5 linked regions of the Danio rerio genome follow. The protein of the gene in region 3 purifies or fractionates together with the protein of the main gene of each other region. This does not show direct contact. Links are inferred from orthologs where the notes say so. Each region holds a gene or a part of one and is shown on either strand. Other genes may lie near its edges. The genes, in order: bcl7a, ss18, smarcd1, bcl7ba and bicra.

Region 1 (6,172 bases), on a different chromosome or scaffold from region 3:
CACGCCTAACCACCCAGATAGCAAAATACACTCGGGCCAGTTCCGGCTAGATTCTCGCCTGCCGGAGACATACCCCTCAGAGCTCAGACTGACTACCTCTGCTGGACCTACTCCGGATGCCTGGACTCACTGCCCGAATTTCAGCCTGAGTCGATCGAGCCAGATGCGGCGGCCGAGCGAGCCGGCGCTGCCGCATGCGAGCCGGAATCAGCCCGCGACGCCGCGAGTAGGTTATGTGCTGCGGCCCGGAGCTGGCGCGATTGAATATATAAAACCCTCATATTTGTTAACGTTATTACATCCATTTGTGTTGATATGACAGCAAACGCATGCTGAGAAGTTCGGGGGCGTGGTTGATTTTACATAAAGCGTTTGGTTGGAAGCTCGACTCCACTCATTTTCGCAGCTCCTCCTCTGGCTCCATCAGGCACTCCTTCTGCGCATGTCAAGGCTCCAATTTCAGCAGTCTTTTGCGACAGTTTGTGCCCGTCAAGCAGGCGTTTTGCCCTCAAGGCGTTCAATGGGAAAAGGGGCTGTCGCGTCGTCCATATTTTTTACGGTCATTGGATTAAACCGGTGATTCTTGCACGGGAGGCAAATGCTCTAAGGAGGAGGCTATGGAAGTGAGGCTTTTGCTATGCACTTGCCAGCTGGCCTCCGTTACAAACTATACTACAATATGCAGTGGCCTTCTAAAAAAAAAATAATACACTTTAGTATGGTTAAAAAGTTTTTTACTATAAATTACTATTATACTTTAGTCTGTGCGGGGCACTGGTGCAGTGCTTTGAAGCAGTAGAAATTAAAGTAATCGACACCTCATCTCTCGCTATACACTTTCCTAACCTGCAAGGATGTTTAAACCTTTAAATCAAAATTTAAAGCAGTCATGTGGGTATGGGTAAAAATAAAGCTTCGTACGTCACTGATCATGTGATTATGGCAAAACAAATTTAACTCCGGTACACTGCTTTACTGCGAGATGTATTATTTTTTGATACATGCTTCGAAGCCTCGGTTCACAACAGCACATCTCTAGCTTTAGGATAAAAGGTTTAGGAACAACTTTACTTTGTTCTATGAAATAAAATATGAATCATGAAATGTAACATTAATCCACAATATAGCTGTTTTGCTGTATTTAGGATTAAACACCTCATTGAGCAATATGGATGTATTTTAAAAACTATTTTAAATCTTATTTTAAAACTGTTGATTTATGAATAAATATGCAAGTGATGCTGTATGTATGTACCTGGGCCGATTTGGAAGAGTCTAAAAAGCTTTCTGAATCCCCCTGTGACTTGCTGTCCCTTTTGCTTGTCATAGACTCCGATGAGCAGTGGTTTTGTTCTGAAAATAATGACAAGGTTTCATTAAAACAAACAAACCAAAAACACAGACAAGTGGATAGTAAGCCTCTAGAGGATTCAATGCACAAACCACTCTTATGATCCTGACCAGATGAAGGCTGTTTGGAAGGATACTGGTCGTTTTTCAAGTCACTGCTGTCATTCTGAGAAGCGGCCATGGGCTCAGGTGCTGGACTAGTGTTGTTGCTGGTTTCCTGCTTCAATGGGGAAGAGTCCGCAATCGAGCTCTGGTTACTGTTGTCATCTGTGGGTAAAAAAATAGAAACAAAAAAAGTTTTAATATCTGAAAATGTCCATGCATTTGTAACTGTTAATAGGTGGTTACAGGTCGGAATAGCATAGCAAATAACCAGTTCACAGAGTAAAACTGTTTCATCAACTCCCTCTATTGGTTAAGAGGAAAAAATGCACATTCAAAGCTGCCATCATTAATAATTATAATAATGATTTTTTTCTAATAAAAAGCAGGTAACACTTCAAAATCTTAGTCATGCATATTAGACCAACTGTTTGAGGATCACAAAGAACACAATTTGAAATTCTCACATAAATTGGTTTAAAGACTACTGCATGTAATACTAATTTGAAAAAGGTAAAACATTGAGATGTGTTTAGGTGTACAGTTTTACCATGCATATCCATCATTCCAGGAGAGGAGCTGTTCTCAGGGGTCGTGACCTCAGAGCCATACTTGTCATCTTTGCCTTTCTTCTTATTTTTGTTCTTCTGTGTGACATAAATACATATTGCAATCAAGGCATATGAAGAAGATAGTAAAATATGTTGTGTCTGTTTTAAATACGACTCATTTTAGTTAACTTATTTTATTTAAAATAAATATGAATTTAATCTCTGTTAAAAACAATAATACTGGTCTGTGTTATGCTACAACTGAAATATGTTTCCCCCTCAACGAATACCACTACTAATTTACCTTTACTAAATTAAAAAAATAATAACTATAGAATTACTCATTAAAAAGTCATTTGCGTCATATTTTACCTTGACTATTTTGTTCCAACTTTCAAATGAATTTGTTGGTTGTGGTCCATAATGTTACAATAATTATTAGGTTATCAAAACTGCAACAGCTGTGCGTTATTGTAAATAAATGTCACTTACATCATCTGACTTGGGCTCCGTCACTGGTACCCACTTGTAGATTCGCAGTGACGTGTCACCAACAGTCACCCATTTCTTCTCCCTGGAGATGCATGTTATTGTTAGATATCAAAGACAAAGGAAACGCCAGACAAATGAGGACAAACCACTAAATCACTTACATTTAGAGGCATAAGAAATCTCAGATGAGCCATTATTTAGGCAAGATGCATTTGCAGAATATGCAACTGAACAAATTATCGATATCAATAGTAAATAATTATTATCATAAAAATAAATACTAATAATAATGCAGTTCACTAGCTCACAGATGTGTACAATTTTAATCGCACGTTGCCACAAAAACACGATTGTTTCTCATTTAACATGTATACTTTTATAGAATAAATATTGTTTTGGTAATTATTGTTAGTCCAACAAATAATTTGTCATGGTTTGAAAACCCTTAATTCAACTTAAACTTAAGTTTAAACGAAATCCCCAGCAGTTGCTTGAAGTGTAAAAAAGTGTATGTGAAACTGCGGCTCAGGGCTGAGTTTAAAACCCCGCGCGTGGATCAAACTCTCCTCACGCGCCGCCGCTCAAAGCGCGACTCTCTCACTTTCAACACGAGATGAACGAGTCAAACGCCCGTTCACCGGCACTTTCTGTTCGGTACGGACGGTTCACTCTAGTTTCCTCATGTCAGCCCGTTCGGTTACTATTCAGCCGGCATTACAGGCTCTAACAGCAAAGCCTTCATGTGACTGCAACGAAATGGCTTCTAGGTTCAACCCACATAAAAATTTAATGGAAGAAAAAACGCGATCTACATTTTCCCAAACTATGTTTTCACACAGCCGACAAAGGAGCAGCCGCGCGCAGAATCGCAGAAACAGTACATCTGAGTGAAATTGGAGTGGAATAAACGCTCTCTTCGCTTTCATTTCATTGTTTCTCGGTGTCTCTCCTCCCCCACAGGCTGTCTGTGCTGTTCGTTAACGGATAGACGCTCTCTCTTACCATTTCCGCACTTTTTCAATTGCAGCCATAACCCGCTTGATGTCATCTTTCGCCCTGCTCCGCGTCTCCGCTCGAACCGACCTGCCCGACATTACTGCTGTTGGTAAAATATCTTTTTGCTCGCTGCCTGTTTAGACACAATGCGAATGCACACAGCACAGGAGAGAGGCGGGGTTTGTGCGCCTGCGCTGAAGCCAAATGCCCTCGAAGCATGAGAGACACGGTCAATGCGGGTACGCGTTTCGCTCCTTTGTTGGCGAACAGAGCAAAGAAAACGATATTTTATCAGATTGCTGAGCTAGACGAGCGAATCGAAACCAGCACCACGACATCAACACACGTTTTATAAATGTATCTGGAAAAAATGGAGACTTCAATCGACAGCATGTTGACAAACGACATGTTTTATTTTCGTATGATTTTATCTCTATGCGAAAGAATTGAACGCAAACATATAACACAACAGCTCGCTAACCACACAATAACAGTCCATCTGTTTTAAAATACATTACTTATTGACAACGCATGAACATAAGCAGGGAAATGTAAATATATTATGACTCCTGTCCGTGGTGTTCTTGATGGAGCTCCTGGGTGGCGACAGAAAAGCCCAATATATCTGAGGCAAATGCGTCCATGGTGATTTCAGCTGGAAGCACACTTTCCAACAGAGACCCTGAAAGGAGAAAGAGTAACGTTTGTTGAGATCAAAAGATTGCTACATTTTGAAAATCATAATGTATTTTAGCCAAATAGTCTTTAACATTGCAGAGGTTATATATGTGAGTGCATTATTAGCAAAGACGCTAATTTGCACATTCACTTGCCTATGATTTAACCCAAAACATAACCAACAATGTAAAGGCAAAACATGTAAGATGAACGTGTAAATGAACATGTTCATTTATTAATTTATTCAATTTTCTTCAGCTTTGTCACTTTATTAATCTGAGGTCGCCACAGCGGAATGAACCATCAACTTATCCAGCATATTTTTAACACAGCGGATCCCTTCTAGCTGCAACCCAGTACTGGGAAACACCCATACAAACTCAGAAACACTCACACAAAAGACAATTAAGCTTACCCAATTCACCTATAGCGCATGTCTTTGGACTGTGGGGGAAACCCACGCCCACACGGGGAGACCATGCAAACTTCAGACAGAAATGCCGACTGACCCAGTTGGCACTCAAACCAGTGACCTTCTTGCTGTGAGGTGAAAGTGCTAACCACTGAGCCACCGTGTCGCCTTTTCATAGTGTTATATATTTTTTATTATTTTCTGGTAATGCTTTCAAAAATGTTTAAGTCCAAAGAAATAAGCAGTTTTAGTGACAAGGACCATGTCCTGTGTTCCCATGCTAATTATGTCAAATACCCTTGACCACCCTTGGTTTGGTTTTATAGAAAACATGTAGTGGGAAACACCAAAGATGTTTAACATGTTTTGTGTTTTGTTAGAGCTCACAAAGCAGCATTATAACAGAACCTTAAAATGCATTTAGCATGATAAAACATGTTGGTGCTTCCCACACAGGGCCGGAGCAAGCTGAACTGCCGCTCTAGGCAGAGGACAATCACGCCGCCCTCAACCCCAATGAGAAAACGAAAGTGACCGGTTATGAAAATGAAGTGAGGTGTCGCGGACCTCTTATGTGGCACACTATGCGCAGATATAACTGAGGACCTGCGGGTGCTGAGGGAGGTGTCGCAGACACTGAGCTCTTTATTCTGCCGCCCTATTCGCTGATATAAATGAGGATGCGCAGGTGTCGCGGACCTCAATTCTGCTGTCCTATGCGCGGATATAACTGAGGACACGCGGGTGCTGATGGAGGTGTCGCGGACATAACTGAGGATGCGGGTGGTAAGGGAGGTGTCGTGGACGCCGCCCTCTCTATACTGCCGCCCTCGGCGGCCGCCTAGGTCACCTCTATGGACGCGCCGGCCCTGTTCCCACATGATCATGAATGAAAGAAACGAAAGTGGTAGACTGTGGCATTATAAAAGTTGTTGGTCATCAGTTAATTGTTTTTTAGTCAGAACTCTTCTACACAGCATGACTTTGAATCACCAGTCCAGATATTTAGTATGCCAAATATTTTACAGCCATCAGTGTCTCGTCGGCGATACTCTCAGATTGCGTTTTTAGTAAATTGTGCTTTGTGATGTCGCTCATGAAAACCGATTTCAGGCATTTGTCAGCAATTATACAAGACCTGTTATTGAACGAAAATCAGGGCTAAAATCGGGCAGTGTGAACTATTTTACTTGCTCCATACTGCCATGATAATAAATAGGGCTGTGAGATTATCTGAAATGAAAACTAGATTATGATTAATTAAGCAAAAGCTGCAATTCTCATGCACATCTTGTCAGGGAAACATGACTCTGTGATCTGTATATCTCTGACAAAGGGCTAGAAGCTGCTCTTGTGCACAAATACAACAGAAAAAAGATACACTAGAAATCAAAGAGAACCGAGGATTTATTTGCATAACTAATAAACACTCGACTATGGAATTTTAAAGAACAATTTATTTTTAAAAAATTGAGGTTCTGAGGTGAGTTAGGATTAAAAACATTATTAAATGTGGTATTTTCACAAGTATTCAGATCAGCTGCAACACAGAGCCATTGATCACTGAGAAGAAATTCAAACAACTGTGAAA
Region 2 (5,575 bases), on a different chromosome or scaffold from region 3:
ACTTGCTGTGGTAAACAGAACCATAAATTCTTCAGTGAACTAAAATATCCTAAAGAAGAACATCTGAATGTCTGCTGAATGACTAGGCATGGGAACACAACCGGTTTTAAGGTTTAACGTGGTTCAGAAAAGTCAAGGTTTTAAAACTGCATAAATGTTCAGTTATACTGTCCTAAGGGCGGGTTTTAATGTATTTTTTGTGTTGTAAAGAAATTATTGAAACTAATGGAGAGAGCAGAGGTCAATGATTTAACAATTTAGCCTGACATTTTACTGTTTCAAAATATTTTATATTAATTTTTCCTAAAATAAAATCTATTGTGTCCAATGGGGAAAAGTTTTTATTATTTTTACCCAGACATTAAAAAAACTTTTTTTTAAAAGCAGTAATAACAGTACCGTGAAACTATGGTATTTTTATACAAGGTTATCATACCGTCAGAAACATACACCAGCCCATGCCTAAGCAGGACAATGATCCAAAGCACGCCTGTTAGTCCACTTCTAAATGGCTAAAAACAAAATGAAGACGCTGGAGTGGCCTAGTCAAATTCCTGACCTGAATCCAATTGAGATTCTTTGGCATGACCTTAAAAAGGTGGTTCATGCTGGAAAACCCTCCAATGTGGCTGAATTACATCAATTGGCAAAATTCTTGACTTTTAATATTTGTGTTAGTGTGATGGTCTGGGGCTGTTTTGATACTTCAGGGCCTGGAAGACTTGCTATGATAAACAGAACCATGAACGGTGAACCAAAATATCCTGAAGAAGAACAACCGAATATCTGCAGAATGACTAGGCATGAGATGATAACCGGTTTCAAGGTTTACCGTAGTTTGTAAAACTTCAGTTATACCTTTACTACGGTGTAAGTTGTTTTTTTAATTTACTATTTAGCCTGACATTTTACGGTTCCAAAATATTATAAATGTTTCCTAAAATAAAATATATTGTGTTTAGAGGGGAACACTTTGGAGTGGCCTAGTCAAAGCCCTGACCTGAATCCAATTGTGATTGTTTGTCATGACTTAAAAAGGCGATTCATGCTTGAAAACTCTTGAATGTGGTTGAATTGCAACAATTCTGCAAAGAAGTGTGGCAAATTTCCTCCACAGCACAGTAAAAGACTCACTGCAAGTTATCGAAGGAGTTTGATTACAGTTGTTGCTGCTGAGGGTGGCCCGAACACTTATTAGGATTAGGGGGCAAACACTTTTTCACACACGGCTATGTAATTATATAATTATATGTGATAAATAATCTAATTTATTCCCCCTTAATAATAAAAACGAATTTAAAAAATGAAATCATTTGAGTACTTGCGTTATCTTTGACTAATATTTAAATGAGTTTGATGATCTGAAACATTGTGACAAACACTCGTTAAAATGTTTTTGTGTTTTTACTTCGTTTGACTGCAACACAATTCAAACACGACTGAAATTCAAACCACGACAGTACCAGACCTGTTTAATCGAATTTCAGCAAGACATACATGTCAATTCAAACGGAACGTCCCACCTTCAAAAAATAAAAAAAGGGAAAATAAATTTGTACACGGTCGATAAGCACACGGGACGACACTTTGAGCTACTGTTCAACACTTGGACTCAATCTGAGCTCTATTTGATAAAGCATAAAATACATTTATACATCATAGCATAGTTTTGCACCTGAAATTGAAAATAAAAAGAAACATTTCCCACCCCTCCGCTGGCCTTCATTCGCACCTCAGCGTTATTGCTTCTCTGACTTCAGCAGGAGAGTCGAAAAACACAAAAACAACAACAACAACAACACAATGAATCTCATTAGAAAAACAAAACACGTTTCGTAGCTTATAAACATCGCTGTGTGTGTGTGTGTGTTTATGTATTTTCACGGATTTCTTTGTTGCTGTAGATAAGGCAGCTGTTTCACTTAAGGCATCGCTGCTATGAAATTGCTTCTCAAAAAACGAAATAGTTTGAAGTGTCAAAACTTATCCTTTCATTATTTATTTATTTTTTTTAAGCGAGTTTGTGTGGGTGTTTCACATTTACATGACCTGTGCTGAGAATCGAGCCAATGGTTGTTGGTTGTGGTCAAAATGCTTGTGGCCGAATGAAGAGTTCAGTCTACGTTAGCGGGACAGGTTCATCTCTTCGTGATGGTGATGTTTAGAGACTCTGAGAGAGCGCTAAGATGCTCTTCATCAGATCACACACAGCTCCGACTGGGAAACACACTGGGGCAGATCGTCAAAATCCTCATCGTTTACTGCTGGTAGTTTCCATACTGACCCTGTGGAGAAAAACACAGAGCACTTTTAAGTATGAGAGAGCTCACAGCCAGAATTACTCTTTTAAATCACGTAAACACTACATTAATGTTACTTAAAGGGATATCTCACCCAAAAATGTATGTTTTTATGACCTTAATACACTGCAAACAGTGTTTGGTTAGTTCCACACAACACTCAATTGCTGAATATACACTATAAACGTTAATTCAAGCACTTTTAAGGAGATATGTTTGTTATTAAGTGCGTTAATTCACATTCAAGCACTTTCATACATCATGGGAAGCCACAATTTACATTTTTATGAAGCCAGATTTCTATAGATCTCTTCAGGAGTACTGTTGTTTGAGTGTCTCACCTGGTCAAAAGCATACGGGCGCTGTGGTTGTCCCTGTGGTGGTCCGGGTTGCGGGGCTCTGTAGGCTGAATACTGCTGCCCTTGACTCTGCGGGTAGTTTGGGTACTGACTTGGAGCGCCTTGTGATGGACCTGTAGGAAAGCAGAGCGTTTGATTGCATGCTTGATCATATTCGCCTCTGCCTCTTCACATACAAGTACAAAAGTACAACTTAAAGGGGTAGTTCACGCAAAAATTTACTCACCAAGTTGTTTCAAACTTCTACGATTTTCTTCTATTGAGCACAAAAGAAAATATTACGATGGAAGCGGAAAACCAGTAACCTTTAGAGTTGGAAAAGCAGATACTATGGAAGTCAATAGTTACGGGTTTTCAGCATTCTTCAAAATATCTTCTTTCGTGTTCAACAAAACAAAGAAAAGATTCTGAACAAGTGAGAGTAACTAATGACAGAATCTTCATTTTTTGCGTGAACTCACTTTAAGTGCAGATGTACTTGCTATCCAGTGCAATCAAGTGGAAACATGAAGAGGTTTTAAGCCAATAAAATTCCCTTCACAGTGTTTATAATTGCAAAGCTGATCTACTGGAGGGCCGAAAAAGCAAAAGACAAAAAAAAAAAAAAAAAAAAAAAACACAGACAGAAGATGGAAAATTTCATAATGCATGTTCTTAAGCTTGTGTTGGCACTTTTTCTTCATTTTAATCTATTTATATTTGGCACATGTATTTACGTACATTTTTATAAACAAATCAAAAGTAATTTAAATGTAAAAAGAAGATTAAAATAAAGTAACGAGCATGCTGTTTGTCATCAAATAATTCAATAAATGACAATTCATAATGCAAAAGTGCATTTTTTATGGATGGCATGATGAAATAGTCTGCTCTCCGGCTCTATCTAAACTCGCTCACTGATTTTCACTCTCTTTCCTCATATTGTCCATTTAACTGTCAAAAACTGCTTTGGGATTAGCAAATAAGGTAACACATGAGTCATTTGACAGCGTCTCGATTAGATTTCTGCACAGGACTTGGACTAGGCCTCTCCAACAATTCATAAACGCAATTATGAATGTTTTATATTGTCCTTTTAACTGTCAAACACTGTATAGGGATCAGCAAATAAGGGAACATGAGTCATTTGACAGCATCTTAATTAGATTCAGGTCAGGACTTTGACTAGGCCACTCCAACAATTCATAAAGCCAATTATGAATTTTTGATATTGTCCTTTTAACTGTCAAACACTCTTTAGGAATTAACAAATAAGGGAACAAGTGAGTCATTTGACAGCATCTCAATTAGATTCAGGTCAGGACTTTGACTAGGCCACTCCAACAATTCATAAAGCCAATTATGAATTTTTATTATTGTCCTTTTAACTGTCAAACACTGTATAGGGATCAGCAAATAAGGGAACAAGCGAGTCATTTGACAGCATCTCAATTAGATTCAGGTCAGGACTTTGACAAGGCCACTCCAACAATTCATAAAGCCAATTATGAATTTTTGATATTGTCATTTTAACTGTAATAAACCGTGAAAGGATTTGCAAATAAGAGAACAAGCAAGTCATTTGATAGCGTCTCAATTAGATTCAGGTCAGGACTTGGACTAGGCCACTCCAACAATTCATAAAGCCAAAATAAATTTTTGATATTGTCCATTTAACTGTAAAACACTGTATAGGGATCAGCATATAAGGAAACAAGTGAGTCATTTGAAACACAGCTAGTGACTTAAAAGCTAAAGGCAGCTTTGTTTGATTAGGGTTGGAGTTAAAGTGATAGTTCACCCAAAATTGAGCATTTACTCACTGTTTACTCACCCTCGAGTGGTTCCAGATGTTGTGTTGTTGAGCACAAGAGAAGTTAATTTAAAAAAAGCTGAAGCCCATTGACTTCCACAGTAGGAATCACAAATATTATGGAAGTCAATAGTTACAGGTTTTATTTTATTTTCTAAATATGTTCTTTTGTGATCAAAGAAAGAAATGCAAAGGTTTGAAACAAGTAAAGGATGAGGAAATGACAGAACTGTACTTTTTGAGTGAACTATCCTTTTACTTTACAGGACAGTGACCGCTGTTGCCCATCCCTGATCTACTTTATTCTGATCATGTCATCTCTTCATCTAAACTACACTTTGAATAGCAGGAGTATGTTTGTATGAAGCATCTGCGTGAATGGACACAGTGCTGGATCCGTCGGTGTGTTCGTACCGTAGCCCTGCTGCTGTCCCGGGTATCCCTGCTGCCCGCTGTACTGCTGCTGCGGTGGGTAACCCTGCTGCTGAGGCGGGCCCTGCTGATATGCCTCCTGCTGCTGACCATACTGTGTGTTTCCTACAGGAAGATTACCACACACTTCAGCAAACTACACTAGTTACGGGGCCGAGCGAAGCAGCTATTGCTGGTGGAAATAGAGGAATATGGAGCTGTGGCAAATTTGCTTAAGAAATCATTTCTGAGATTTTCAAAATGCACCACTTTTCACTCTTGAATCAATTCAGAGCTTAGTTTATAAACAGTAAATGGCTAGGCTAGCTTTTAACAGCATTCTGGGCTCGTTTTCAAACATTAGATGGCGCTCTAGACTACTTTTTAAACAGCAGATAGCGCTCTAGACTAGTTTTTAAACAGCAGACAGCGCTCTAGACTAGTTTTTAAACAGCAGATGTCACTCTAGGCTAGTTTTTAACAGCAGACGGCGCTCAAAGCTAGTTTTTAACAGCATTCTAGGCTAGTTTTCAAACAGCTGATAGCGCTCTAGGCTAGGTTTTAACAGCAGACAGCGCTCTATACTAGTTTTGAAACAGCAGATGGTGCTCTCGGCTAGTTTTTAACAGCAGACGGCGCTCAAAGCTAGTTTTTAACAGCATTCTGGGCTAGTTTTAAAACAGCAGATGGTGCTCTAGGCTAGCTTTTAATAG
Region 3 (6,065 bases):
AATGTCTTGTGTTTTCAAGAGTCAATGTTTTCCAACTATTACATTTAAATTACCAAAGTCATACAAGTGGCAATTTCATATTTGTCACATCCATAACCAAGCTCTTCCCTCATAAATGCAAAAATGTCAAATTAAATAAACTCAATCATTTTTGTTCTATAGTGAGCAACTCATCCATTTGATGAGCATTATTTATTTTGGGTATTGCAGTTTAATTCACAGAATTTCTAAAAAGCATGTTGTATACTGTAAACTCGCAGACTTTTTTGGTCACATCCATAATGCATGTTTATTTTCCTTATTTAAAGTACAAAACATGTTTACAGAATAATATTTTTCTGATCTCTTAACTCTGTGGTTAGTTGTTTTGGAAAATATAAACAGACATTTCAATATAACGTTAACGTATAATTTCTCTGTGAATTTATGTTTTTAGTTTTTACAGCAAATGTCACATCCATAATGCTGGGATTGCTCATTCATTTTTAAATCCTGGAACAACTCAGATATTTAGTCACAAATCAGCACACAAACAGTTGTGTTCATCACTAAGAAAACAAGTGCTGCTGATCATCTGAATGTTGGTGCAGACGGTCACTGAAACTTAGAAACATCTCATGTCAAGCAACAGTATAGGCATGGGCTGGTATAAGATTCTGACAGTATGATAACCTTGGATAAAAATATCACTGTATCACGGTATTGTGATTACTGCTCTAAAATATGTTCTTCTTAAATGCCTGGGTTAAAAAAAACAAAAAAAAAGTCCCCATTTGAAAACATTATATTTTATTTTTTGAAAGATTTATAATATTTTGAGCATAAACATGTCAGGCTGAATGAATAATCCAAATGAATAATTGACTTCTGCTGTCTTTATTAGTTTCAAAAACACAGATTTCTTTACAATTTAAAAATTCTATGGATTTTTTTTCTGCTGGAGATACTGTCGTCATAAAAAACAAAATACATTTTTTTACAAATACTTTAGGAATGGTGTTAAAAAAACATTTTAGCGGTTTTAAAACCTTGACTTTTCCAAACCGCAGTAAACCTTGAAAACGGTTATCCCATGCCTACAGAATATGATTATTTTCCCAATCTTATTTATTAGCTAATAAAACAATTGAGGTAAAGTTAGTTTTATATTCATATTCTGACTTTCTCAATAATTTCAGAAAAGTATTCTTTGCAAATACTGAATAGTGAAATCCTATTAGCAGCCCATCTCTTTTAAAGTACAAATGTTCAGTTGATTAAGAAGTGCTAATGTTGTTTTGTAGTCATACTTGTATGCAATTTCAGACAGAATATGCATAGCGTGGTAAACAATATGAGGACTGTTAAAATGAACGAATGTGGAAGTATAAAACCAACTCGGGGTTCATTCACAATTTTACGACTAAAATTTCATGACTTTTTCAAAACTAAGGTAAATATTCATGATGTTGTTTCGTGTTTAATGCAATGTCTATATCAGGTGTCAGGAACCTTTTTTCAGCAAAGAGCGATTTCAGATTTTTTTTTAATCAAATGCATTTTTTAAAAAGCCATATGGGTTGTGTGTATGACAAAACCTTTATATATTTATACACAAAACCTTTATTTATGTCCATGCATAACTCAAAAATAAAAACAAATATGGCAAATCACAATATACGAAGAAAGGCCAATGTAAATTTTTCTTTTTTTTGCCATCGCCACCCGAATGTTTGAATTTACGTGCATGAGGTTACCAATGAAATGTAAGTTACCATAGAAATGTAACAAATATAACTTGCCTTTTATTGTTGTCGCGATTCAAGTAAAACCACAGCACCACGTATGCTATGCACATTGGTTGAAACGTCCTTTTATTGCTAACAGTTCTTATTCATTTTGATGTAGAAAATACAATATAAGGAAAATTGTAATTGTATTTTCAATAGAAAACTGATTTCTAGTAATTAAAATTTTTGAAATATTACTGAAAAGAGATAGCTGGATAGCCACATATTTTTGTTTACAGAGCCACATGTGGCTCCCGAGCTATAGATTCCCTACCCCTGGTCTATATACATGTGGTAAATAAGTAAAAAAAATGCACCTTCCAATTTGCAGCATATCAAAAAAATGTGACAATTCATGTAGTTTATATTCATATCTGTAAAATAGTTTTTAGAAATTATCTTACTGTCTGCATGAAAATTCAATAATGTTGGCATGTGTTTTCACAAGACTTTAAATTAGTACAAATTAGCCTTTAGCACCCACAATATTTTACCTTTGGAGTTAAATATTTCTTGACACGAAACTCAAAATGCATCTTGAATTACGGTAAAAGCGAGGTGAAGCTATAACTGCTTTTTGGGGTAAAGTTGGTTTTATATTCACACATTAATTCAGCAACAACTTGTGACATGCTCCCTATATTGGTTACCATAGCACTTTGAATATTAAGTCTGAAATGCCATATGTGTCTGCTTGAAAACAACATTAGCAATATTTATTTGAACGTGAACAATTTTGTACTTTGATAGTCTTTGGCTGCAAACATGATTTCACTATTTAGAATTTACAAAGAACATTTTTTGTAAAATAATATTATAGAGGACAAAGTCTAAAGGTTTAAACATAACCAACTTTACCCCAATAAACTGCTTTTGATTTTTGAAGTTATTTATTATAGTTTTTTTTTTTTTTACCCATTTCATTTTTTTTAAGTCTTCCCATGAAATATAGTGTCAAGTACCAGTCAAGTTAATCTCAAATATACTCAAGTACACGTAATTGTTGAGCAAATTTTCATGATTTTTCCAAAACATTCTGGGTTTATGTGTTTTTCCAAAACTTTTCCAGGCCCGGAGAAGGCCTTTTTGAAATTTCATGACTTTTCCAGGACTGTATGAACCCTGCTAACTATACCTCAATACGAAAACATACGTTTGTTAGTCTAACGTTAATAAACAGGACAGAGGTAAAGTTGGTTTTATTCGCACATTCAGACTTCCCCTTTAATAATATCATTTCATAAAAGTATTATTTGCAAATTCTAAATTGCAAAAACATATTAGCAGCCAATGACTATCAATCATTGTTCACAGTCAATTAAGTGTTAATGTTGTTTTCAAGTCACACATGTAACGTTATGCTAATTCCGATCGAATATTCAGAGTCACATGGTAAACAATACAGATACTTCTAAATGAACCACTGTGCGAATATAAAACCAACTTTACCTCTATGTAAACTAGGGAAATTAAATGTTTATACTTTTTACATTTAAACCATATTCTTAAATCATTAAGTAGCAAACTATATGCAAAGCAGATGTAATTTAGGCAAAGACTTGCTCTCATGTAATGCACAGAATACATCAAATTAGCATATAAACACTGGTCATCAAAGCAACCAAAGCCATCATCATGATGCTCCTGTAGGCCGCGCGGTTACACACAGAGCTTCCGCAGAAACTCTGTTTACACCATCAAAACCAACTGCAGGTTAATATTCCTCAAGTCATTCTCAAGTGAAACACAAACAAATAATCTAATTTCTGGTTTACTGAAATAAAGTTTGACGCTTAGCATTGAACCAAACGGTAAGCAACGCAACCACAGTCGAGCATAATAATAGAGTATATTCTCAATTTAACACTATAGAAACCATTTTAAACGGATTCAATGTTGACGCTTTAAATAAACGAGCAAATTCTGCGTTCAGACTTTAAAACTAAAGCCCTCGGTTTATGCGCGGCTGCTTCTTTGTTCTCCTCGCGCCTTACCGGGTAACCGGGCATCGGTGATCGGTACATGTGGTTCTGCGGGCCGCCTGGTCCCATCCTTCCTGAGGGTGTACCGGGACCCATACCGGGTCCTGCTCCGGCTACCGGCGGCCCGGGTCCCATCGGGGCTCCGCCGCCACCGGGTGTCGAAGGCTGAAAACCACTCCGCGCCGCCATCTTCTTCTCCGCGAGCCGCAAACAGACAGAGAACCACCGGTGAGACTTGAAACTAGTATCGCGAGAATTGAAGAGCACAGGCGTTCAGAGCTGAGGTAGAGTCTCGCGAGGTGTGAAGAGACGTCGCGCTTGCGCTGACGATGAGAAGGGTAATCCTGCACAACTGGAGTGGCTGCACTCTCAGGACCGCATTTTTAGGACCGCATCTTTAGGACCCTAGTTTTTTGTGACAGCGTTACCTGTCGGATTGGATCATGGATGCGCTAATGGACGACACGGATGACAAGGAAAGTGTAAGTACCGATTTTTCTATTAAGTTTTATTTTAAACTGTTAAAGTATGTGTTTATTTTGTAATGCTGCTGTTTTATACTGTGAGTTTATGCAGAAATGCCAGATTAGCCTGCATGATTTACCCCACTTTTAAGGGTCTGGGACAAAAATGTTACGTGACGATTTTTTTTCCAGAAGAAGAATAAAATATTATAATAATAAATATGGATAATTTTACACAGCCAGAGTGAGAGCTGCTATAACTGTTAATAATTTTCTAGAGTTCGTTTTCTAGTTTGATTATACGTCGTTCGTAACTCGTGACCATGGTTTAATGAAACATTGTTGATTTAATGGCTTGTTGACTTAACGGCTAATGTGCTTAGTGACATGCATTAAACTAAGATGGTAAAAGCACGTTTGATGTAAGAGTTTTAGATTTATCTATATTTTACTGAATTCGTGTTATTCGTTGTATTACATTAGCACATTAAAAATTGTGCTGACTGCCTGTTTGCCCCACAATACTGTATGTGTTATTAGCCTGATGTTTTGTCATCGTTTTACAGTGATGAATGAGATTCTGAAAGTTAGGCTTATTCTGCAGGTCTTAACCATATAGAGTCTCATATCTTTAATTTATATCAGGTATGTTTTACCTGGCGAAAAAGAAGTGATGGCCAATATGATTGGATTGCTTAGGCTCATTGTAGGAGGAAAAGAAAACAAACTACAGGAATATTTTCATTGAGGTTATCTCAAACTGTTGAGTAACACTTTATAACATCTGCATACTATAAATAAATAATTATTAAGCATTTAATAACTAGTTAATTTATTAATATTTTATTTGTTTAGCATTAACTCTACATTTAATAGACATTGATAAGCAGTTTATAAATACAGTTACAAATGCTAGCTGTGTTCTTGAGTTTATAGCATATCTATGATGAAGTGCAGATTATCTGTGGTGTTCATTTTCCAGAGGAATGTCTGGCCAAATAAGTATATAAACTGCATGCTGGGTGCTACTCATTTATGAATCCATGTAAAATGATTTGCTGTTCTGTGGTGGTATTTTAGTTCATATTTAATGATTTTTTTTTCAAAGGCCATCGTACATCCTCTGGGTGTCTTGAGGAGCTGGTCTTTGGATGATGCTGAGCAGGTCTTTCTTTCTGGTAAAGATTATCATTACAGGTCAGAATATGGTTAATTTTGCACAATGCTCAAAGAGCCTTTTTGTTACTGGTATATATGTTAACTCAACAGTGGATTTGCTTTTTTTAGTGTTTGGACTTTCAGCAGTGAATACTAAACCACACTGAACTGAACTGAATTTAATAAATGTTAAGCTGCTTTGACACAATCTACATTGTAAAAGTGCTTTAGAAATAAAGATAAAATTAATTGAAATTGAATTGAATATTCAACACATTTCCATTTTTCTCAGAAAACATATTTATAAAGGTGCTGTTGACTTGAAATTTTCACCAGATGTTGATAACAATTTGTAAAGTAATTAGATTTGTTTTCTATTCATATATATTTTTTCTTTGGTTTTCAGGTCAATAGCACCTTTAGAAATATGTTTTCTGAGAAAAATGGGAACTTGTTGAATACTTATTTACCCCAGTGTGTATGTATATATATATGTATGTATGTGTGTGTGTGTGTGTGTGTGTGTGTGTGTGTGTGTGTGTATTTATATGTATGTATTTATGTATGTATATATGTATGTATATGTGTGTATATATATATATACTTGAACTTTCTTCTTCACTCTCATTCACAGGAGCTAAAGTCTACAGCCAGTCTGAATGCAGCAACTGAATAAACAGTGGAGTCATTTT
Region 4 (6,079 bases), on a different chromosome or scaffold from region 3:
AAATATATAATATAATAAACAAATAATATTACAACAATATGGTATAATATTATTTAATTATATTATTAATTATGTAATGTAATCTATACACACATTTAAAAATATATAATATAATGTAATATAATATAATATAATATAATATAATATAATATAATATAATATAATATAATATAATATAATATAATATAATATAATATAATATAATATAATATAATATAATATAATAATGAATGCATGGTTCTGTATGAGTCTCACCTTCCATGATCTCCTGGCCGAGGGTGGGTGGCTGTGGGTCATCAGTCCTGTAGTCTAGACTCTGAGGTGCCGGACTGACCGGCTCACTGGCCGGTGGACTGGAGTTATTGCTGCTGTCTGCGGCTGCTTTATGCTGGTATGAGTCTGACAGAGAACTCTGGTTGCTGTTTTCATCTGGCAACCAGGAGAATATATCCAATTTACATGAACGAAAGAAAATTATATAGCTTTGAAACTCTTTTAGGGTGAGAAAACACTGGCAGAATATTAATGTTTTGGGATTTAATGTCCTATTAAAACATGTTTACCTTGAAAATCTAATAGCACAGAGCAGGCATTATCAGAGGACTCCTCTGAGGGAAAATTCTTCCGCTGCATTTCTCCACCCACAGACACTTTGCTCTTTTCCTTCTGAAAAAAAAATCAGGTGATGGAAACAGTAAATACAGTGAAGGAGTTTGGAAATTACAGATCCTGATCAATATGTATGAGATGGAGATGTTGTATTTTTGTGAAATGTGACTGAATTTAAATCCCATTCAGCCAGATGGCAATTAAAATCAAGAGAAAGAAGCATTTTAAATGTGTCATACCTCCTTTGTGTCCACCACGGGGACCCATTTAAATATTCTTAATGATGTATCTCCAACTGTGACCCATTTCTTCTCCCTGAAATGGAGCAATAGGAGTTCAGGTTTCCCATATACATCAGACCGCAGTCATAAACTCATTATTCATACACCTGCTAGTTGTGTGGTTTTAAGCTTTTCCTAAAATGTTATTTGAAAGAATGCATAAAAGCACGCAGATCAGTCTGAATGGGTACTCAGAAAAACTAAAAAAAAAGTCCAAAAAGTGCTCTGTCCCTGGGAGCATCAGAGAAATGACCACTTACAATATGTTCAAAAAACATTTCAAACTCTGAGTAATAGAACAAAGACGTGTCATCGTTTATATAAGCTTGTACCTACCTATCATGTTACCACTTGTGCCTGCCATCTTAATGTGTTGTTTAAATGTGTTTAACTACTCTTATCTCTATTGCATAATGTTGGTGTTTTTAGCTTATTTTGTACATATACTTTTTTATTAAGATCCACTTAACTATGTCGATTTCAGTGCTTCTTGACTATACTTGATTGATTTTATAATTTTTGGATTTTTTTAGGGTGACAATTTCAACATTTGTCCCGGGACAACGGATGAAAAACAGCCTTATGGCTAATTCTGGTGCATTTGCAGCAATGCTAATTAATGTACACTGTCCCTGCCGAATAAACAAATAACTAAAAAAATATTCATAAATGCGGCAACACCAAAGCTCCAAAAACTCAAAAAATATAAATGTATTACTTAAAAAAGCCATCACAAAGCGTGTTCATCAGACAATATTGATCATAGCATGTAGCTTTTATACACCTCTGGATTACATTATCTCAAACATTAAATCACAACAAAAGAAAAATTAACATTAATAAACTGAACAACTTACACATTTGCTTTTATGAATATTTGTGCCCCTAAAATGTTATTTATAATGTAAGGAAAACATCTTAAATACAGTGTTTATTTTGTCGCACTTTATCAATTTATCTCTGAATTTCTATAACAATACATGAATTTAAAGTCAAAATCTCCACATCAGCATTTGTATACACCCAAATTTGCAGTTTAATCCATGTATAGGCCTATATTTTACAGAGGAATATGTTCACACATGATTTGCCTGATACGCTCTCAGAAAAAAAAAAATGGTACAATGTTGTACCAAAGAAGGTACAAACTCTTGTCACTGGAACAGCACCTTTTTATCGAACAGAAATGTACCTTAAGACAAAGAAACAAATTAGTATCATTGCAGTTTTCAACTTTAAGGACATGATTTGTACCATGGGAATCCAAATTGTACCTTTAGTTTTTAAAACCTGCAGATACAATATTGTGCCTTCATCAAAGATACAAATCTGATCCATCAAGGTACCACAGGTACAGGTATAGTGACAAGACACTTTAACAGTGTCAAATGTGTTCCTTCAAGAACTGTTTAAAGGCTTTTTGCTTTATCCAAAACGTGTCAATTTATTTTTAGTAAATATAAAACATCAAATACATTTTTAAACAGTGTTTTTTTAAGTTTCTTTTTGAGTTAACGCACCTCTTCAGTTTACAATAAAAGAATAAAAAATACTTTAATACTTTTTTGCTAAACATTTCACAACACTTTTCACAAAAATGTTAAAGAAATACATTCTCTCATGTACAATATTAAACATTTTTCCAATTTTCACACAATACCTTTGTAATCATCTATAAGTTCATTTAATTTACATGTTTTTAAAATAGAAATAGAGTTATGCAAAACTATTGTAACGAGATATGCACAATGTTTGATTAGTTTTACATTACTAAAATGTCTGCATGAACACTGCATATGCAGGACTTTTGCCAGCTCATGTGTGTAGTGGAAAGCAAACGCCAAAAGGTGCAGATATCAATAATAAAACTGTATTTATCAGAAAAAACTAATAAGTGTTTATTAAAAATGCCTTAAATATTTAGTTTACAATACATTTAGTTTTGTTTTATAGAACTTAATAATTAATGTTGATGAGTTTCTTTAAACAAGTTTTTTAAATGATGATTAATGTTTTAATATGGAAATTATTCATGAAATCACTTTGCCTTTCCAGTGATATTTACTTTCATGGATATTGTAAAAAAAGGAGTTGTCCAACACTTTTGTACGTTTGTTATGAGAACAATTGTATACCTTAATTTCAGATGTATCATAAAAGGTACAGAACAGTATCACAAGAGGTCTTTTCAGTTCCATATAAGGTACGACTTTTACAAAGGTACAAAACTGTTCCTTAAGGGACATTATTTGTACCACCGTGTACCTTTTTGTAGTATACATATGTAGTGTACATTTTATTCTACTATTTCTTTCTTTTCTTTTTAGATGTTCACAGTATTATCCTAATTGAAATAACATTTGTAACATTTGACAATAATAAAGTTATGAACACTATGTTTAACCTAAAACGAGCACATACTTCATATTTCAAAACTTTTTAGAAACCTTGTAATACAAATGTAAACAAACAACTACAAAAATATGGTGATAACTATTATTCTTTATTTGATTCACCTGCATTGTCTTGCCCTAAAAATACAACCATGCAGGAAAATAGCACTTCTCAAGCTTCCAATTGAAGAAAGTTTCCTCTAAAAGCTGTTTTTTTCTGGACATGAGGGATTACAGTCCATTTGTTGATGAGTTATACACTATCCAATATCCCCATTTATCTTAATCACAAAAGTGCTTGGGTTTTACAGGGCTGAATCCTGATGGGATGTACTTGGATTAGCCGTTTGAATAGTAAATTCGTAAATGATTAGATAAAACTGTGTAAAAAGGACAATTAAGTACGCTATTAAATATTTCTAACAGACTTTAAACTTCTTCAGCAGAAAAAAAAAACCCGTTTAAAAGTCCCCTTTAGTCCCGCCTCTTTTGTGCCGCTTGTCCTTTCATAAAACAAAGACAGGCGGCCTGCCATTGGCTGAATCTTGTGTCAATCAAACTGCATCCTCTTATGAAAGTCCTCCTCCTTTCCGACTGAAGTTTCTCTTTTGAAAAACAATTTTCTCTTTCAAAGTGTCGTGACGGCGCTCGGCGTACTCACCATCTCCGTACTCTCTCGATGGCAGCCATGACTTTCTTAATGTCATCTTTAGCGCGGCTCCGGGTCTCCGCGCGGACCGAACGACCCGACATTTCTTAATTTTATCGGTACTCTTACTGGAATCGTGTCGGTCTCGCAGTCTAGCGGCGCAAATCTCGTCTCGCGAGAACTCACGACTCTCTCCACTTTCCACAGCTTGACAAGTAGATCCCACCTACTTCCAGAGGACACAGGTGGCTGCTGTTAAGAGTTTTTATTTATTAGAAAATGAGCAAATACCTATATATTTATCAAGTCACAGATTTATTACTCAATACGTATTGTAAAAAATCGTATTCGTTTACCCTAAATACGTTTACACAACTCCTCACAGTTATAGTTCATTTCAAAATAAAGGTCTTTAGTGACTATTTTTTTAAATACTATATTAAAACAAACATGTAATACAAGAAAGTATAAAATAAAATGGCCGCTGTAGCTTTTATTATGTTAAATGTAACATATGTAAGACGAACCAAACAGCCCTCGTGTTATTTATGTTAATCAACCTAAAAAAAAAACAACAAAATATATTAAAATTAAAAACATTTGCTAAATTAATTTAAATAAATATATTATTTAATTCTTAGAAATTAGGAGGCTAAGTTTTGTAAATGGTGTCCCAAATCTTTCCAATGCTAGTAAAAGTTTTTTTTATTCATTTGCTGACAAATTTCTTACCTATGCTTTCTTTGACAAATCAACAAAAATCAAACTAGTATTATTAAGTTTATTCTTTGTAGGGCAGTATATTATGTGGAAGCTTATTTCTGTCACAGAATAAAGTTTTTCATCTCACATTTCTGTCTTTGTCCTCCTTACAGATGTAAATTTACATCTTAGTTTGGACTTTTGACAAACTTCCACTTGTGAGAGAATTGAGAATTTCACTATTTATCACTAGTATATAAACATTTATGAGTTTGTAACTTCTGTTGAAGAAAGCTGAAACCCTGCAATCATTGACTTACATAATCGGAAAAACAAAAACTACAGACATCAATGGTTACCCGTATTTGGAAATATTTTTTGTGTTTAACAGAAGAAACCAGTTCATAAAGGTTTGAAACGAGTAAAGGGTGAGAAAATGACACAATTTTGACAGAGTATGTGTGTGAATGGAAGTGTGTGGGTGTTTCCCAGTGATGGGTTGCAGCTGAAAGGGCATCCGCTGCATAAAACATATGCTGGATAAGTTGACGATTCATTCCGCTGTGGCGACCCCAGATTAATAAAGGGACTAAGCCGAAAAGAAAATGAATAAACGAATGTCCCTTTAAGACCAAGAATGTGAGCTAATAAGCAAAAATAAACATTGCAAATTCTGATTTCTTGCAGACTTTAAATTATTTCACCTGTAAAACAAGGGACCTAGTCTTTCCCCTATCATACTGAGGGAATAATGTAACTGTATATTATCTGCAATTATCTGGGGAAGTCCTGTTTTATATATAATGGGAGCTTTTTTCCCTCCGTTGTCCGGTTTTGAAATTTTTCTTTGTGTAATCTTGTAAAGATGTACTGTTAGGTTTATATTATTGTGAAAATTCATTTATATATATATATATATATATATATATATATATATATATATATATATATATATATATATATATATATATATATATATATATATAAAACACAAATAGATGACATTAGATCAGTGTTTCTCAACCCTGGAGGCACACTAGTATATATATTTTAAGGTCTCCCTTATCTGATCCATTTATTTCAGGTTTTGGAGTCCCTTCTATTGTTCTGCTGAGTTGATTCTGGTGTGTTTGATTAGGGAGAGGTTGAAAATGTGTACTGTTGGTGTGTTTTCAGGAACAGGGTTGGGAAACACTGCATTATGGCCTGTTTCCACTGAGTGGTACAGTTCGCTGCGCTTTTATGGCCACTTTTTTGATACCATTTTCAAAAGGGTACCAAAAGGTGAAGCAAGACGCACAGCTGAACGCTATTGGTTTACAGAAATACATCACTAGCACATGCACAAGCCAGGAGAATCAAAACAATGGATGCGCCATTTTTAGATTCACAGCCATTACATAGTAATAATATATACATATATTAACGACCAATGGTCAACCCTA
Region 5 (5,617 bases), on a different chromosome or scaffold from region 3:
TAAGCGATGTGAGCACATTCTTAAACAGCACTGATTTACTATTGTGTTTACATACTCAACAGAAATGACTGTGATTGGCTGTGAAGGTCCTCGGTTTGCCGAACTCACCGCTGTTTACGGAGTGTAACCACAAAAAAGGACACTGGAGCGTTTTAAAGCCGATTAAGCAGACTGCTCGTATGTCCGCTTATAGACAAACCAATTAATCGACATGACTTTGAAACGCTCCAGTGTCCCTGTATCTATGGTTACACTCAGTGTACAGCGGTGAGTTCGGTGAACTGATGACCTTCACGGCCAATCACAGTCATTTTTGTTGAGCACGTGAACACAATGGCAAATCAGTGCTGTTTAAGAACATGCTCAACAGCGCTCAAATGTTAGCAGGAAATGGAGTTTATTTTTTTTATTTCAGTACCGATTGGTATCAAATTCAGCATCGTGACAATCCTAGTTTGTACCATGAAAGAAGCTCAGCTGCTCAATAATACCATGGCAACAAAGAGTGATTAATGTCAAACAGCTTCAATTTACCTGAAAACCAAAATAGAAGCAAATTAAAGCTAACTTAGCTAGCTAGCTAACCCAGATTTATGGTACAAGTCCAGGATAAGTTAAATAAGAAAGGCTTAAATTGTGCAGAGTGGTGGAGTCAAGGATCATCCTTTTCACAGGTTACACTATCATTACAAAGACTTCCTATCCATAACTGTTCTACAATTCAGTTTCACTATCGTTTTTGATTGTTCTGATTGTTTTTTTAAGTGCATCACTAAAACAATGAGCAATTTCTCATATCTACAGTGCAAAAACAAAACACCACACAGCAACAAGCTACAATAAACAAATAAGAGTAGGATAATATACAAGCAAGAAGAAATAGAAAAGGAAAAATCTTGTTTCAAAACATCAAAAAGGAAGTTTTCGTAAAGACTTCAAAAGTTGAAGTACAAAATGTACAAACTTATATAAACATCTAAAAGATAGATGCTCTTTAAATGCAATACTTGAGCTTAATACTGGGAGGGTAGACAACTCACTCAAGGACAACATTTTTGCAGAGAACAAAAAAATAAAAAATTGGTTCACATACAGACAAGGAATATTCTAAAGAACAGTCTACAAACCAAAACAGATTTGCTGGTAGGATCAGAAGGCAATTCAGGGCAGCGAGAAAGTGATCAAGATCAAATCTTTGAAAGTGATCTTGAAGGGAATTAATTTAATTTCTCTTGGGGGTGGTGGTTGTGGGGGCTGATTGGGGTTAAAAACAGCAGTTACTGAACGTGAGGGCAGCAGAAGGAATGAGTACTGAGAATGTTAATCTTAATGGATAAAGTGAGTGGCAATGATTTACAGCAGATAAACTGTTAGGAATCCATCATGACATGCCTGTGAGAAGATGATGCAAACACACACACAACCAAAAAATAGAGTACTATTATTGCATGTGACACCATTCGAAGAGTAACAATGGCACTGTTATTTGCATCAACCCTTTTTTTAATTAGTGTCAATGTAGTTTTGCAAGCTTTCGGCTCAGAAATAATCATGCAAACAAACAACAGGACATGTCTTATTAGGGGAAAGAATATCGTGCAATAGGCAATGAAACTAATGGATGAAAATAATGAATCTCTCATTACATTATCAATGACAGAAACAGATAATAGTCATCGTGACAGATGCAGAATGAAAAAACGGATTAAATACAGGCAAAAACAAGAAGTGGAAACAAGTGAAAGAGCAGTAGCCTGAGCAATGACAGTAGAAGGACAAGAGGACAGAAAAAGAGGGAATTCTGCTGGGAGACAGTGGTCCAATACGCAGCAGTGGCAGCAACAAGTGGGTGGGGCTTAGCACAGAGCATGAGCTCATCTACCTTGTTAACCACTGTTGCCATGTGGGCAGGACCAAGGGAGGGACTGGGACTCTGCCTCTGCCGAGTCTCAGCTAACAAGTTGTCATGGCCTGAAGGGACGGGACCAGAACTGCTGCCGCTGACGATAACAGATGCAGGTACACCCACAGCGGCAGGTGGGTCTTTTCCTGCGTGATGCTGTTGCTCCTAACATAGGTACATTTATCAGTTCAGGAATGGGAGAGGTAAAACAATCATTCAAACTGGTCCAGAGGTCAGCTTGGGGCTCTAAATGTTGTTATGTTAGCACACAGTTTGCAAACAGCAGATAAAGTTTAAAGAGAGCACACTGACCTGGTGCAGGAACATTTGAAGAGGCTCCTGGCTCAGGATCATGCCGGAACCAGGTGACGTGAACAACACTTTTCCAGGGCTGTGCTGGGCCTGTGAACACAGACCCACCATTGTGGATGCAGACGTGGCCATCGTTGGGGATGGAGATGAAGAGGAAGGAACCGAAGCTGCTACTGAAACTGGAGGCGTCGTCTGAACCGTGAGAATTGAGGGCTGAGGTTGCGTCTGTGCTGGTTGAGCAGCAGAGTCAGAAGAGCCGCCCAATACAGTGATACCCTCTCCTGGCTGGCATGGCGCCATTGCCGTCGATCCACTGCTACCATTATTAGGGACGCCGCCAGACTGCTGCAACGTCTGTAAACTGACTGCTGGGCTAAGGCTCTCCACAGACAGGGAATTCTGTATAGGCATGCCCTGAATGACCGTTTGTACATGCCCGGTTACCGGATGAGATTGTGTCTGAGTATGCGCCAAAGACACCGGCATTTGGAACAGTGCAGGCTGACCCATCTGACCAGGCTGGAGCTGGATGTGTCCAGAGAGAATGTGGGCTGCACCAGGGTGGCCCTGTGAAGCCAACACCTGTCCCAAGTTGATGTTCTGATTGGCTGTCAAGATCTGATTAGCGATTATCTGCCCTCCAGGCCCCTGACTGGTTATGATGTGTCCACCAGGATGCTGAGCCAGGATCTGGCCTCCTGCTTGAAGCCCTGGTAAGAGGAACTGGTGGTTTTGGCCCTGCAGGACAGTTTGCGAGGGAATGACAATGCTGCCCTGTTGGTTTAACAAGTGAACACTGAGGGGTTTGCCTGAAGTTTGAGGGCCCTGCTGTTTAAAGAGCGCTTGAGAAAACTGTGTTCCCTGCGACGCTGCCTGTGTGCTCAAAACTACGTTAGAGCCAGGCTTCCCGGTGAGGAACGTTACATTCTGACCAGCTGACACTGGGATTTGCTGTACCCCCAGAGCTTTATTAGCATCATTTGGCAAGGCATGTGGGGCAGGAAGCTGTTGTTGTTGTTGCTTGAAGATTTTGGGTTGGATTGTACCCCCTTGAGGAGGTTTGGGCTGTATTGGCGTTGGCGTTCGCTGGATGATGACATTCTGCATGATTTGGCCTTGAGGCTGGGTCTGAGATCCAATTCCTGCACCCAAAGAGGCATTACTAAAACCCACTATACCACCAGCAGTGGCCATTGTAGTTGCACTGTTGTTGGTATTTGTGCTGCCTAAGCAGACAGCTGGCCCATTTAAGGCAGGGGACCCGAGAGTGGCCTTGCCCCCTTGAATTACAAGTCCACCTCCTGAACTCAAAACAGAGCTTCCAAGCCCAGCCTGCGTTCCAGCGCTTGCTGCCTCCGGCCCAGGTTGATGCAGTTGGTAGCCACCCATGGTTTTCGTCAAGATTTGCTGCCCAGATGGATTTATAGTCATTACAGTGGGCTGACCCACCACTTGAATTTGTCCAATGCCCAACGGTCCAGACTGGCTGCCGTTCGGTAGGGCCTGAAGGCTCGAAATTGGCTGAAGTGTTACATTTCCAAGTCCGACTTGTTGTACAAAAGGCTGGACGCTGATAGCCTTGTTCATGACCTGTTGTTGAAGCTGCAGACCTGGATGTGCCAGGACAGAACCAAGCATGTCTGGAGTGGGATTTGAGGGTGCGGTAGGGGTGCCTTGGTTTGGAAAAATCTGAGTTGCACCTCCAATGCCCACCCCAGACAGGCCGGCATCAGGCAGGGGTTGAACCACCTGCGTAAGGCCAGTTAGCCCAAAGGAACTGAGGTCAAGCTCAGCATCTGCCTCTTGAAGGCTCTGCTCTGTGATGTTAGCCTCCGCCAAGCTCTGCTGCAAAATGTCACAGGGCTCATGATTTGTCCCAACACCATTACTTCCATTGTCTCCTCCTGGCGATCCCCCCAATATGTCATCGTCCTCCAAGAAGTCCAAATCAACGCTGACTCTTGGAAGGCCCGGCTCACTTGTCGACAGCTGAACCTGTGCCGGAACCTCAGGAACATGGCCCTGGAAAACACAGACAGACTTTTTAAAAACTAGACCCAGTCACATTTTCAGAATCATATGAAATAACATGCTAAGGATGGATTTGGGATGGTGGCACTCCTTTGGGACTGACTGCTGTAGTTGCAGATCTGGTGCACAATGCATCTGATTTGGATGGTGGGGTTGAGGAGCACATGCTACGAAAAAAAGGATGGAGCCAGGAGGTTGGCGCAAATGGGGGATTTTACTCACCCCAGTGCTGGAGAAGAACGAGCTGGACGGGTCACCTGAGCCATCCAATAGGTCATCAGTGTCCAGCTACAGACAGATATACCCAGGATAGGACAGGCAGAAATCACCACAGCACACAGACAGGCGTGTGAAAGCGACAGGGAGAAGACGCACAAGGGGCAAATAGGCAGACAAAGAGGAAAAGGCAAGGGAAGAGAAAAGTGAGGACAGTGCACCAATCAACCAGAACAAAATGCAGGCACAACCAAGTTAAAAAGCCAAGCAAACAGGAAAGAAAACAGGAGTCAAAAGACAGGAAAATTAGATTAGTATGTCATATACGTGAATTAACCAAAGAGGGAAAAAATCAGGATTGAAATAGAAATTAAGAGGAGCAATTATGTTCTAAAGAAAAGATCAATAAGCTTGACAACCCTTTTAGGGGAAGAAATGTAAAAATAACCCGGAAAGAATTAGAAGGATCAGGGAACTCTTGGTGGATGAGGGTGTTGTGTTTTTCTGTGATGTATCTGGGTTACATTATAAAAGTGTGCCCACCACTGGAAGTACTCACTTGTGTTTCTGATCCATGAAGAAAATCGTTGAGTGCTTGTGGGTCACTGTACAAGAAAGTTGTTATTTAGCTTGGTCTACAATGCAACAAAACAAGCTAATGACACGTTATCCTCTTGTTAAGTCATGACGTATCGATGATGTTTGCAATATTGTTTCCAGGTCCAAGCCGCTACTCATTTGAATTGAGAAAATATTAGCTTATAGCCACTTTTTAGTCCTATCTCATATTAAAGTGAATTTTATATAAAATCATAGTGTATACATCAGTCTCTGGGATTGCTGCATCACAGACACCAAAATTTTAACAATTTATAAAAAAATGTATCACTTTCTGGCCATCGGATTAGCCATGGACATATATATTGCGGTCATGATTTTCGAAAGTATTACATTGCTTAGTAAACATTTATTATTATCATTTGATAAGTCTCCCCAAACAGTTTGATATAGCACTTGGACCTGGAAGCCGCTTTGCGCGATGTCACACTTAACAAGTAGATAAACAGTTATTTGACATTTTTGAGGTAACATATTGAACTTACCAAATTACATCTAGCAAGCACCTGCCATCTTCATCATCCATGTCAACTACAG

The links.
Region 1: the proteins of smarcd1 (region 3) and bcl7a purify together in Homo sapiens (affinity purification with mass spectrometry; 5 studies listed by BioGRID and IntAct, counting the BioPlex papers as one, with this or other methods). This does not show direct contact. The link is inferred for Danio rerio from reciprocal best matches to the Homo sapiens genes SMARCD1 and BCL7A.
Region 2: the proteins of smarcd1 (region 3) and ss18 purify together in Homo sapiens (affinity purification with mass spectrometry; 5 studies listed by BioGRID and IntAct, counting the BioPlex papers as one, with this or other methods). This does not show direct contact. The link is inferred for Danio rerio from reciprocal best matches to the Homo sapiens genes SMARCD1 and SS18.
Region 4: the proteins of smarcd1 (region 3) and bcl7ba purify together in Homo sapiens (affinity purification with mass spectrometry; 4 studies listed by BioGRID and IntAct, counting the BioPlex papers as one, with this or other methods). This does not show direct contact. The link is inferred for Danio rerio from reciprocal best matches to the Homo sapiens genes SMARCD1 and BCL7B.
Region 5: the proteins of smarcd1 (region 3) and bicra purify together in Homo sapiens (affinity purification with mass spectrometry; 5 studies listed by BioGRID and IntAct, counting the BioPlex papers as one, with this or other methods). This does not show direct contact. The link is inferred for Danio rerio from reciprocal best matches to the Homo sapiens genes SMARCD1 and BICRA.

The regions. Positions count from the first base shown.
Region 1 is NC_133180.1:42,612,566-42,618,737, reverse strand, and holds the start of bcl7a (B-cell CLL/lymphoma 7 protein family member A), read right to left. Parts: upstream 3,655-6,172; 5' UTR 3,590-3,654; coding exon 3,498-3,589; exon of another isoform or gene 2,659-3,497; coding exon of another isoform or gene 2,657-2,658; intron 2,578-2,656; coding exon 2,496-2,577; intron 2,100-2,495; coding exon 2,003-2,099; intron 1,618-2,002; coding exon 1,462-1,617; coding exon of another isoform or gene 1,444-1,461; intron 1,354-1,443; coding exon 1,256-1,353; intron 1-1,255. Other genes in the region: cfap251 (cilia- and flagella-associated protein 251), read right to left, coding at 4,052-4,173.
Region 2 is NC_133177.1:1,522,966-1,528,540, forward strand, and holds the end of ss18 (protein SSXT), read right to left. Parts: intron 4,989-5,575; coding exon 4,866-4,988; intron 2,773-4,865; coding exon 2,642-2,772; intron 2,286-2,641; coding exon 2,259-2,285; 3' UTR 1,389-2,258; downstream 1-1,388. UniProt on the Homo sapiens protein: Appears to function synergistically with RBM14 as a transcriptional coactivator. Isoform 1 and isoform 2 function in nuclear receptor coactivation. Isoform 1 and isoform 2 function in general transcriptional coactivation.
Region 3 is NC_133197.1:7,413,029-7,419,093, forward strand, and holds the start of smarcd1 (SWI/SNF-related matrix-associated actin-dependent regulator of chromatin subfamily D member 1), read right to left. Parts: upstream 3,968-6,065; 5' UTR 3,941-3,967; coding exon 3,764-3,940; intron 1-3,763. UniProt on the Homo sapiens protein: Involved in transcriptional activation and repression of select genes by chromatin remodeling (alteration of DNA-nucleosome topology).
Region 4 is NC_133185.1:38,244,568-38,250,646, forward strand, and holds the start of bcl7ba (B-cell CLL/lymphoma 7 protein family member B-A), read right to left. Parts: upstream 4,055-6,079; 5' UTR 4,037-4,054; coding exon 3,945-4,036; intron 925-3,944; coding exon 849-924; intron 667-848; coding exon 564-666; intron 430-563; coding exon 256-429; intron 1-255. UniProt on the Homo sapiens protein: Positive regulator of apoptosis. Plays a role in the Wnt signaling pathway, negatively regulating the expression of Wnt signaling components CTNNB1 and HMGA1.
Region 5 is NC_133193.1:47,592,690-47,598,306, reverse strand, and holds part of bicra (BRD4-interacting chromatin-remodeling complex-associated protein), read right to left. Parts: intron 5,612-5,617; 5' UTR 5,607-5,611; coding exon 5,566-5,606; intron 5,068-5,565; coding exon 5,022-5,067; intron 4,535-5,021; coding exon 4,469-4,534; intron 4,238-4,468; coding exon 2,216-4,237; intron 2,069-2,215; coding exon 1,883-2,068; intron 1-1,882. UniProt on the Homo sapiens protein: Component of SWI/SNF chromatin remodeling subcomplex GBAF that carries out key enzymatic activities, changing chromatin structure by altering DNA-histone contacts within a nucleosome in an ATP-dependent manner.